Canis lupus familiaris: one gene and its partner. The protein of the gene in region 2 binds, or shares a complex with, the protein of the main gene of each other region. Links are inferred from orthologs where the notes say so. Each region holds a gene or a part of one and is shown on either strand. Other genes may lie near its edges.

Region 1 (4,088 bases), on a different chromosome or scaffold from region 2:
TACTGCAGGCGAAAGTCTGCAAAAAAATCAATGTGATGCAGCATTTATTCTGAGATATCAACAATAAATTCTTTTTGAAAATCATTATTACTTTATTATTAATAAATTATCGTTACATTATTTTGCAATAATGATGATTATTATTATTTCTTGCAATAATGATTATTAATACGACTCATTTGAGAGAGCAGGAGATAAACACCTTCCCCTGCTGGTTTCTAGCTCGTTACCGCCCTTGTCCTTAGGAGGACGGTGCAGAGAGATCAACACTTGGGCATGGATCGCAGATGCCAGTGTCGACATCTTCCATCATCTCGAGAAAATTTTCAGTACCGTACAGTCAAAAAATCAATTTCAAATACACCTGTGCGTGTCTTAAAAACAAAAAAAATGCATTTATAAACAAGAATAGGAAAAATGCTAGGCCAGTACTGCCCGGAAGAGGAGCCGGCGTCAGGGAGACGCTTGGAGGCCTTCAGCGGGGTCGGGGCGTCCTTCCACCTCGGAGCGGAACGTCAAGTCTTTTTTTTAAATTTTTATTTATTAATTTTTATTTATTTATGATAGTCACACACAGAGAGAGACAGAGAGAGAGGCAGAGACACAGGCAGAGGGAGAAGCAGGCTCCACGCAGGGAGCCCGACTGGGACTGGATCCCGGGTCTCCAGGGTCGCGCCCAACCGCTGCCCCGCAGGGATCCCACGTCAAGTCGTCACTGAGATGCACGCCCGGCCTGCAAGACGCAAAAAGCCAAGACAGTCCAAGCAGAGGGGCCACCCGACTCACCGCAGTCCGGGGCTGGAGTCCGCTCCTCGGCACCCGCTGCCCCGAGGCCGCCGCTGGCGGAGGAGGGCGCGCACGGTGGGGCCTGTCCCTGCCCACGTGCCGACTCCCAGACGACTCGGGGCGGTAGAACACGGGAAAGAGGCCGCTTCGGGGTCCTCGTGAGCTCCGGCGTGACAGTGGGCTCCGCGCTGCGGAGACGGGGATCGCGGCCTCCCGCCCGGTCCCCGCCACACGCCCGTCAGCAGCGGAGCCCGCCTCCGCCCGGGCCCTCCCTGAGGCGCTGAGCCCGGGGCCCGCGGCACCGCCGCGACGTCACGCCCTGCGCCGCGGGACGCGCTCAGGCCCCGGAAGCGGGCGGACCCGGCGCGCTCCCGCCAGGCCCCGCCCCTGCGCTTCCGGCGTTCGGGCTTCCGAGGCGCGGCCAGAAAAGGGCCGGAACTCGGTGAGCCGGAGGCGGCTCTCGGCGGGACTGAAGAGCGGCGCGCACCGAGGGTCGTGGGGGCGGCGCCTGCGTCCCCTGCTCGCGCGACATGGCCTTCAACTTCGGGGCTCCCTCGGGCACCTCTGGCACCGCCGCGGCCCCCGCGGCCCCCGCGGGTGAGTGGTCCTCCCGGGAAGGAGGGGCGGCCCCCGGTGCAGCCCCCCGGCCCGAGCCTGTGCGGCCCGGAGACCCTGGGGGTGTCCTGGCTGCTTGGGGACTCCGGGGGCTCCGGGCCAGGGGCCGCGGCTGAGCGGGCCCGGGCGGCTCCTGAGGAGGCCGCGGGGGTTCCGAGGCCCAGCCCGTGGCTCCCCGCACAGCGTCGCCCTCCCGGGGTCCGCTTCCCGCCGCCGGGGGCCCTCCGGAGGCCAGACGGCGGCTCCGCGCTCCCGCTGCCGGACGGCGGCCCGGCTCTCCCCGCCCGAGCCCCCGGGGCCCCGAGGTCCGGTTGGGGCTGGCGGGTCGGGGCTGCGCGGCGGCCGCTCGGGGCGGGCCCTTGGGTCGGGGCTGCGGGACCTCGCGCTCGGGCTCCTCCCTCCCGTCCCCGCCTCCACCTCCGCTTTCTTAACCCGCTGGAGCTAAGTCGAGGTTTGTCCTCGTTCGCTTCTGTGAGACCTGCTGACTCTTCTAACCCTTGTCTTGCTTTCTTTTCCTTTTCTTTTCTTTTCTCTTTTCTTTTTCTCCCCCCTCCCCCGTTTTAAAATTTTGTTTCTGTGCCTACACGCCGATCAGGATTTGGTGGGCTTGAGACTGCCAACTCCACCGCCAGTGGGTTTAATTTTGGGGGTTTCGGATTAACTGCTAATCCTGCAGTGAACTTTAATATTGGGAATTTCGGTGTTTCTACTACCTCGGCGACTCCGTTCAATTTTGGTAACAGTCTGGCAAGTGCAGGTAGATACTGCGGGTCGTACGTGTGACGATGTTGGGAGCCGGAGTCCAAGAATATTTCGCAGCTCCGAGTTTTCGGAAGAGCAGCGACATGCCTAAAGGGGAAAGGACGTTCATTCATTCCCTAGAGTCGAATCAAAAACGTTTGCATCTAGCTCCGACTGTCTTAAAAGATTTGGTTTTTAGAAGCCTTGCAAGTTGTGATGTTCCTTTGTTGAACTTGCATTCGATCCGACAGAATATACCTTCCAAGTGGTAAGAATCTGGAACGGATTATTTGAAGTAGAATATGTTTTCCAAATTGTTTATCTTATCTCTTACAAAACAGAAACTCACCAGTCAGGCTCTTTTCTCTGGGATTCTTGGACTCCTGCAGTCATTTTTTTTTTTTTTTCCCCCATCTTTCCTGCATCTTTCATTGCAATTTCATTCGACTGTCTTTGTGTTTCCCAAGAGAAACAAGTCTTATACGAACAGCAACATCCTGTATTTTTAAAATGTGTTTAGCAACAACAATGTATTCCTTTGGTCCACTCGGCAGATTAGGATGCATTTCTGTAAGATATGTAATTTTAAAGAGTCTTGGTTTTTTACAGGATTTTTTTGAGAAATAAGTAGAGCAGTTTAATTTGTCAGATAGCATGGAGGCTAGTAGGTAGGCTAGACATATTTGTATTAAATAATGATGAAGATTTTAGTACCTATATGGATTGAAGCTCATTGGAAATTTGCAAAGCACAGACTATAATGTGTTTATATGTATATATAAATTTAAAATAGGTCTGTGTATTTTACATAGTTATCCTATAGAAAAGTCTTGTTCCTCTGCTGCTCGTATATGAATATATTGTCCATATTCTCTTGCATTATGCCACTTATACCCATGCCAATTATATGCATTTTGTAAACATTATTTATTCCCTAAAATTTATTTGGAAAGTCTGGTATTTGTGCAGTATTTGTTAGAGCAGTACGAATATCACCTCGGCATCTGATTTGAAATGTTTTGAAGAATACGTTTGAATTCCAAAGATAAAACAGTCCTTGTCGTTAAGGTATATTTAAAGTGATCGTGTATCACTGTCATTTACTGTCATGCACATTTATTTTTCCGTTTGCTTAAAATTGGCACTGGGTAAAACAGCTGTATTTTGAAATTTGTGTTTCTGAATAAAGCCACCCAGCTTGTAATTCAACAACAATAAATAAACTTATTGGTATTTGCTTGATTTCATGTTCATTTGGAGTTATCACTGTTAAGTGTTGAGTTGTGATAATATAACTGTATTTTAACCACTTCTATGTATGTTCAGTAACTGAACCTTCAGCAAAGGGATGATAGAAATTCTTATTTTTTTTATTTTTTTTAAAGTCTTGTTTATTTTGTATCTTAACAGATTCACTACTACATTTTTGGTATTAGGAACCATGATAAGCTACTAATATTGTGTAGCCAAATCAGAATATATCATAGTTATTCTATGTAAGGGAAGATAATGAAAAAGATTGAGAGCAGTGTTTTATACTTTTAGTTGATTTTTTTTTTTTTTTTTAGTCCAAATGTTTACAGTTTGCAGTACTGCAATAGAACCTACAAGAAAATAGCCTATTTGGTTATGTCTACAGTATGCAGTCTATTCTTGAGTAATTTTCCAAATCAAAATTATATGGTGAATATCAAAAGGTTGAGGTTTTTTCTTTCTTATATCCTTTATGTAACATGAATCTATCTCTTAAACTAGAAATATAGGAAATTAGAAGTTAGAATTGTGAAAAACTGTGGCATAATGCAGCACTAATGGTTCAGACTTTTTTTTTTTTTTTTTAAGATTTATTTATTTATTCATGATAGACAGACAGGGGCAGAGACACAAGCAGAGGGAGAAGCAGGCTCCATGCCAGGAGCCTGACGCGGGACTCGATCCCAGGACTC
Region 2 (3,638 bases):
CAGGGAGTCTGCTTCTCCCTCTGCCTATGTCTCTGCCTCTCTTTCTGTGTCTCTCATGAATAAATAAATAAAATCTTAAAAAAAATGTGTGTATAAGTGCAGAAATAGGTTGTAAGAGGATCATTGAAATTTTCTGGTGGGATGAAATTTTGTGTGTTCCTGTATTTTCTTAATTAAGCAGGTTTTATTTTGTAACATGAAATACATTTTTGAAAAGCAGAAAGTGAATCACTGCATTTTGCTGATGGAGCATTTTTACTTTTCTACTTTTAGATATATACTATTAATGAACTATTAAACAGATGTTAGAAAGTTGATATATCTACACACATTAAAAACTTCAACTTTAAAAAAATTGCTTTTGTTAAATATTTAGAGACATCCAGTAATCTGACATCTTTTAGTGTTCTAAACTGATAGAGAACCTCACTCTGAACAGTTAAACTGCGCTACACAAGAATATTTTTCATCAGAGAGTTGAAAGAGGAAGATTCTTGCCCTTGAAAGAAATAGATACAAATCAGCTATGTAATTATCTATATGTACACAAACATATCTCCATGACATCATGACCTCACATATATGTAAGAGGCAGTCTAAGAAATACTTAGCAGTTTTTATATTTATACCTTAGTTTGTATTAAATTAAAACTTGAATTGGGAGTACATTGTTAAATGACCTGTTTTTACATGAAACTTCTTAAATTTTCTAGGTGATAAAACAGGAACAAGACCAGAGTAAGTTTACAATTTAACTTTTAAAACATTTTCATTGAAGAATTTTATATATTAAATTATAGGCAAATGGTATGGTTGTAAGTAAATGAAACTTTATAGTCATTTAGAAGAAAAAATATTTGAATCAGTTTTTGTCTAAACTAAAATAAACATAAGCTCTGGAAAGATTTTGGAAGGTTAAATCTGTAGTTTTTAATCGTTAGGAAAATTTATAACCAGTTCTTTCTAGAATGTTTTCTACCTAATTTTACATATATATACCTTTTATAAATAACTATACTAGTACCATTTATTTTCTGATGATGGAGAAAAAGCCTCCATATACATCATATGTGTAAAGATCACTATTTTTACTACTACTTATATTTTCTCACCTAATTTATATTACATTAAATACAACATATATAAATAAATGATCCAGTTCATACCTCCAAAACAACTTGTTTAACTCTATTATATGAATGAGGAAGCTGGAAGAGACTGAGGTTTGCCAAGTAGCAAATCTGTGACTGAAATTTATTTCATAATTACATTACAACATGTCAAGTTTCACTTATTCCTATCTCATTAAATATTTATGATTCTGTTAAGCTATTCCTAGGTTTCATTTTGTTGAACAAATTGAATTTATTAAAATAAAGTAAAATATAGTGAGCATCTTGTTACAAGAAATTTTATAGACCTTCTTTAATGAATGCTTTGATTTTTTTAACTAAATATGTCAGTCATAGAATTTTTGAGATGGGGGAACTTAGTTCAATATTAGTCTAATGTGCTGTATTTTCTAAGTTTTTCCTTAAACATTTGGTCAGATGCATTTATGTGTACTTGTGATAGATGCCAGTCTTTTAGAAAAACATCTCCCTCTCAGATGAATTGTTAAAGTTATTTTAAAGGTCAGGAAATAGAGGGTTTTCTAATAAAGAGCTTTGAAATCACCTAAGAAAGCTATACATGGGGAATATTTGCTTTATTTTCTTTTCAACATATGCTCTAGTGAAACTCAGCTGTCAGCTTTTTATACTGTTAATGCCTTTAATACATCTGTGGCTTTTTTCTTAGGGATAGTAAAGCACTGAAGGATGAAAATCTACCTCCTGTCATCTGCCAGGATGTTGAAAATCTCCAGTAAGTGTGAAATATAATTAGATAAGTCATATTGAAGAATAGTAGAATATATTTTAGGGGGAAAATCGCTTCTTCCTCTTAAATATTTTAAGTTGGATAAAAATTTCAATATTCCTATAAACTCAAGAGAAAACAGAATAACAGGAATTAAAATTTTGTTACTGTCATTCTGAAAAAAGCATGTGAACCGTAGATGGATTTTTAATATTTCCTTCTGAAACACTAGGACTCTGACCAACCTATCATAAATGTACTTTTTTCCTGTGGGAAACCAATGGTGTATTTTTTTCTTAAAGTTCAATTTTATGTATCTTTTTAGGAAATTTGTGAAGGAGCAAAAACAGGTACAAGAAGAAATTAGTAGAATGTCTTCAAAAGCCATGCTTAAAGTACAAGAAGATATTAAAGCTCTGAAGCAGCTTCTGTCACTGGCTGCCAGTGGATTACAGAGAAACACCCTCAATATTGACAAGTTGAAAATAGAAACTGCTCAGGTAAACTAACTTAGAATAATTTTATCATAGAGTTTCATTTTGTTTTGTTTTATTCAAGTGGAAATCAGTCTTTTGTCAATTATAAGACAATACAGATAATGCTGTAAGAAAACTGTATAGCTTGTGTAGTTTTAAGTTGCTGTAATAGTAATAGTTACTGGTTTGTATTGAGTGCTTACTATTTATGAGGCAGTATTTTAAACAATTTATATTTATTAGTCCAGTTAATAGACTAATAGCTGTCCTGAAAACAGCTCTATGAAGTAGGCACTCTTTTCTTTGTTATATAAATAAGAAAATGGGCAGAGAACTTTGTTAGTAAATGGAAGAGCTTGGATTCAGACCCTGGTAATCCAGCTCTAGAGTTGATGCTCTTAACTGGTTTGCTTCCTAAAAGTGCTTGTTGGCTAAATTGCTATATTACACAAGCTAGGCAGAAAAAGAGGTTTTTAAAATCTCTCAGCAATTAAATAAAAACTGTTTTGTGCTTTATAAATATTAAGTTCTGATGACTTGCTGGTATTAGATCTTAGTTAAAAATGTTAATGAGGCTCATGTTTTTTGTCACTTATGTCTGTTTTTTTTTGTTTCCATTATGGTATAATATATGTATAATATATAGTTTTAATCTACATTGTTGGGAAAGAATGATGGTAGAAGATTTATTTTTGTTTTGTGTTTCACAATTATAAAATATACTTGATCTGATCATGGCAGGTTAGAAATCTTTCCTTAAGTTTCCCTTCATCTGTTAATGAACTATGTGATATACCTTTTTCTTGTTTAAAGGTTTTAGTTATTTATTCATGAGAGTCACAGAGAGAGAGGCAGTGACATAGGCAGAAGGAGAAGCAGGTTCCATGCAGGGAGCCGGATGTGGGACTTGATCCCAGGACTCCAGGATCACACCCTGAGCTGAAGGCAGACACTTAACCACTGAGCCACCCAGGAGTCCCTGTGATATACCTTATTAAAGATATATTTGTTTATTTTAGAGAGAGAGAGAGAGATAGCACCAGTGGGAGAGAAGAGGCAGAGGCAGAGGGAGACAGAGAGAGAATCTCCAGCAGACTCCACACTCAGCAGGGAGCCCAATGCAGGGCTCTTTGTCTTGACTCTGAGGTCTTGACCTGAGCCAAAACCAAGAGTTGGGCACTTAACGAACTGTGCCACCTAGGCACTTCTATGATATATGCCTTTTTAAAACATGGGCTTATGAGAGTGCTATGCTCTTCATAAATGAAGTGATAATAATTTAAATAAAAATTTTAAAGGTGC

Evidence for each region. The genes of interacting proteins can lie anywhere in the genome.
Region 1: the proteins of NUP58 (region 2) and NUP54 are in contact, whole or in part, in a crystal structure (PDB 4JO7), measured with the Homo sapiens proteins. The link is inferred for Canis lupus familiaris from reciprocal best matches to the Homo sapiens genes NUP58 and NUP54. Residues at the interface, in NP_054808.1 of Homo sapiens: Pro342, Tyr345, Phe346, Leu349, Val350, Phe353, Gln356, Leu357, Tyr360, Gln363, Ile364, Leu367, Leu371, Gln374, Ser378, Ile392, Tyr393, Phe396, Leu399, Ala400, Leu403, Ile406, His407, Val410, Lys414, Tyr417, Tyr420, Arg421; in NP_059122.2 of Homo sapiens: Tyr453, Leu459, Glu462, His466, Leu467, Gln469, Gln470, Gln471, Gly473, Leu474, His476, Leu477, Ile478, Ile480, Ile481, Asp484, Leu485, Ile488, Lys489, Leu490, Val491.

The regions. Positions count from the first base shown.
Region 1 is NC_049253.1:39,407,022-39,411,109, forward strand, and holds the start of NUP54 (nucleoporin p54), read left to right. Parts: upstream 1-1,197; 5' UTR 1,198-1,316; coding exon 1,317-1,383; intron 1,384-1,996; coding exon 1,997-2,158; intron 2,159-4,088. UniProt on the Homo sapiens protein: Component of the nuclear pore complex, a complex required for the trafficking across the nuclear membrane.
Region 2 is NC_049246.1:14,201,911-14,205,548, reverse strand, and holds part of NUP58 (nucleoporin p58/p45), read left to right. Parts: intron 1-713; coding exon 714-738; intron 739-1,800; coding exon 1,801-1,866; intron 1,867-2,185; coding exon 2,186-2,360; intron 2,361-3,638. UniProt on the Homo sapiens protein: Component of the nuclear pore complex, a complex required for the trafficking across the nuclear membrane.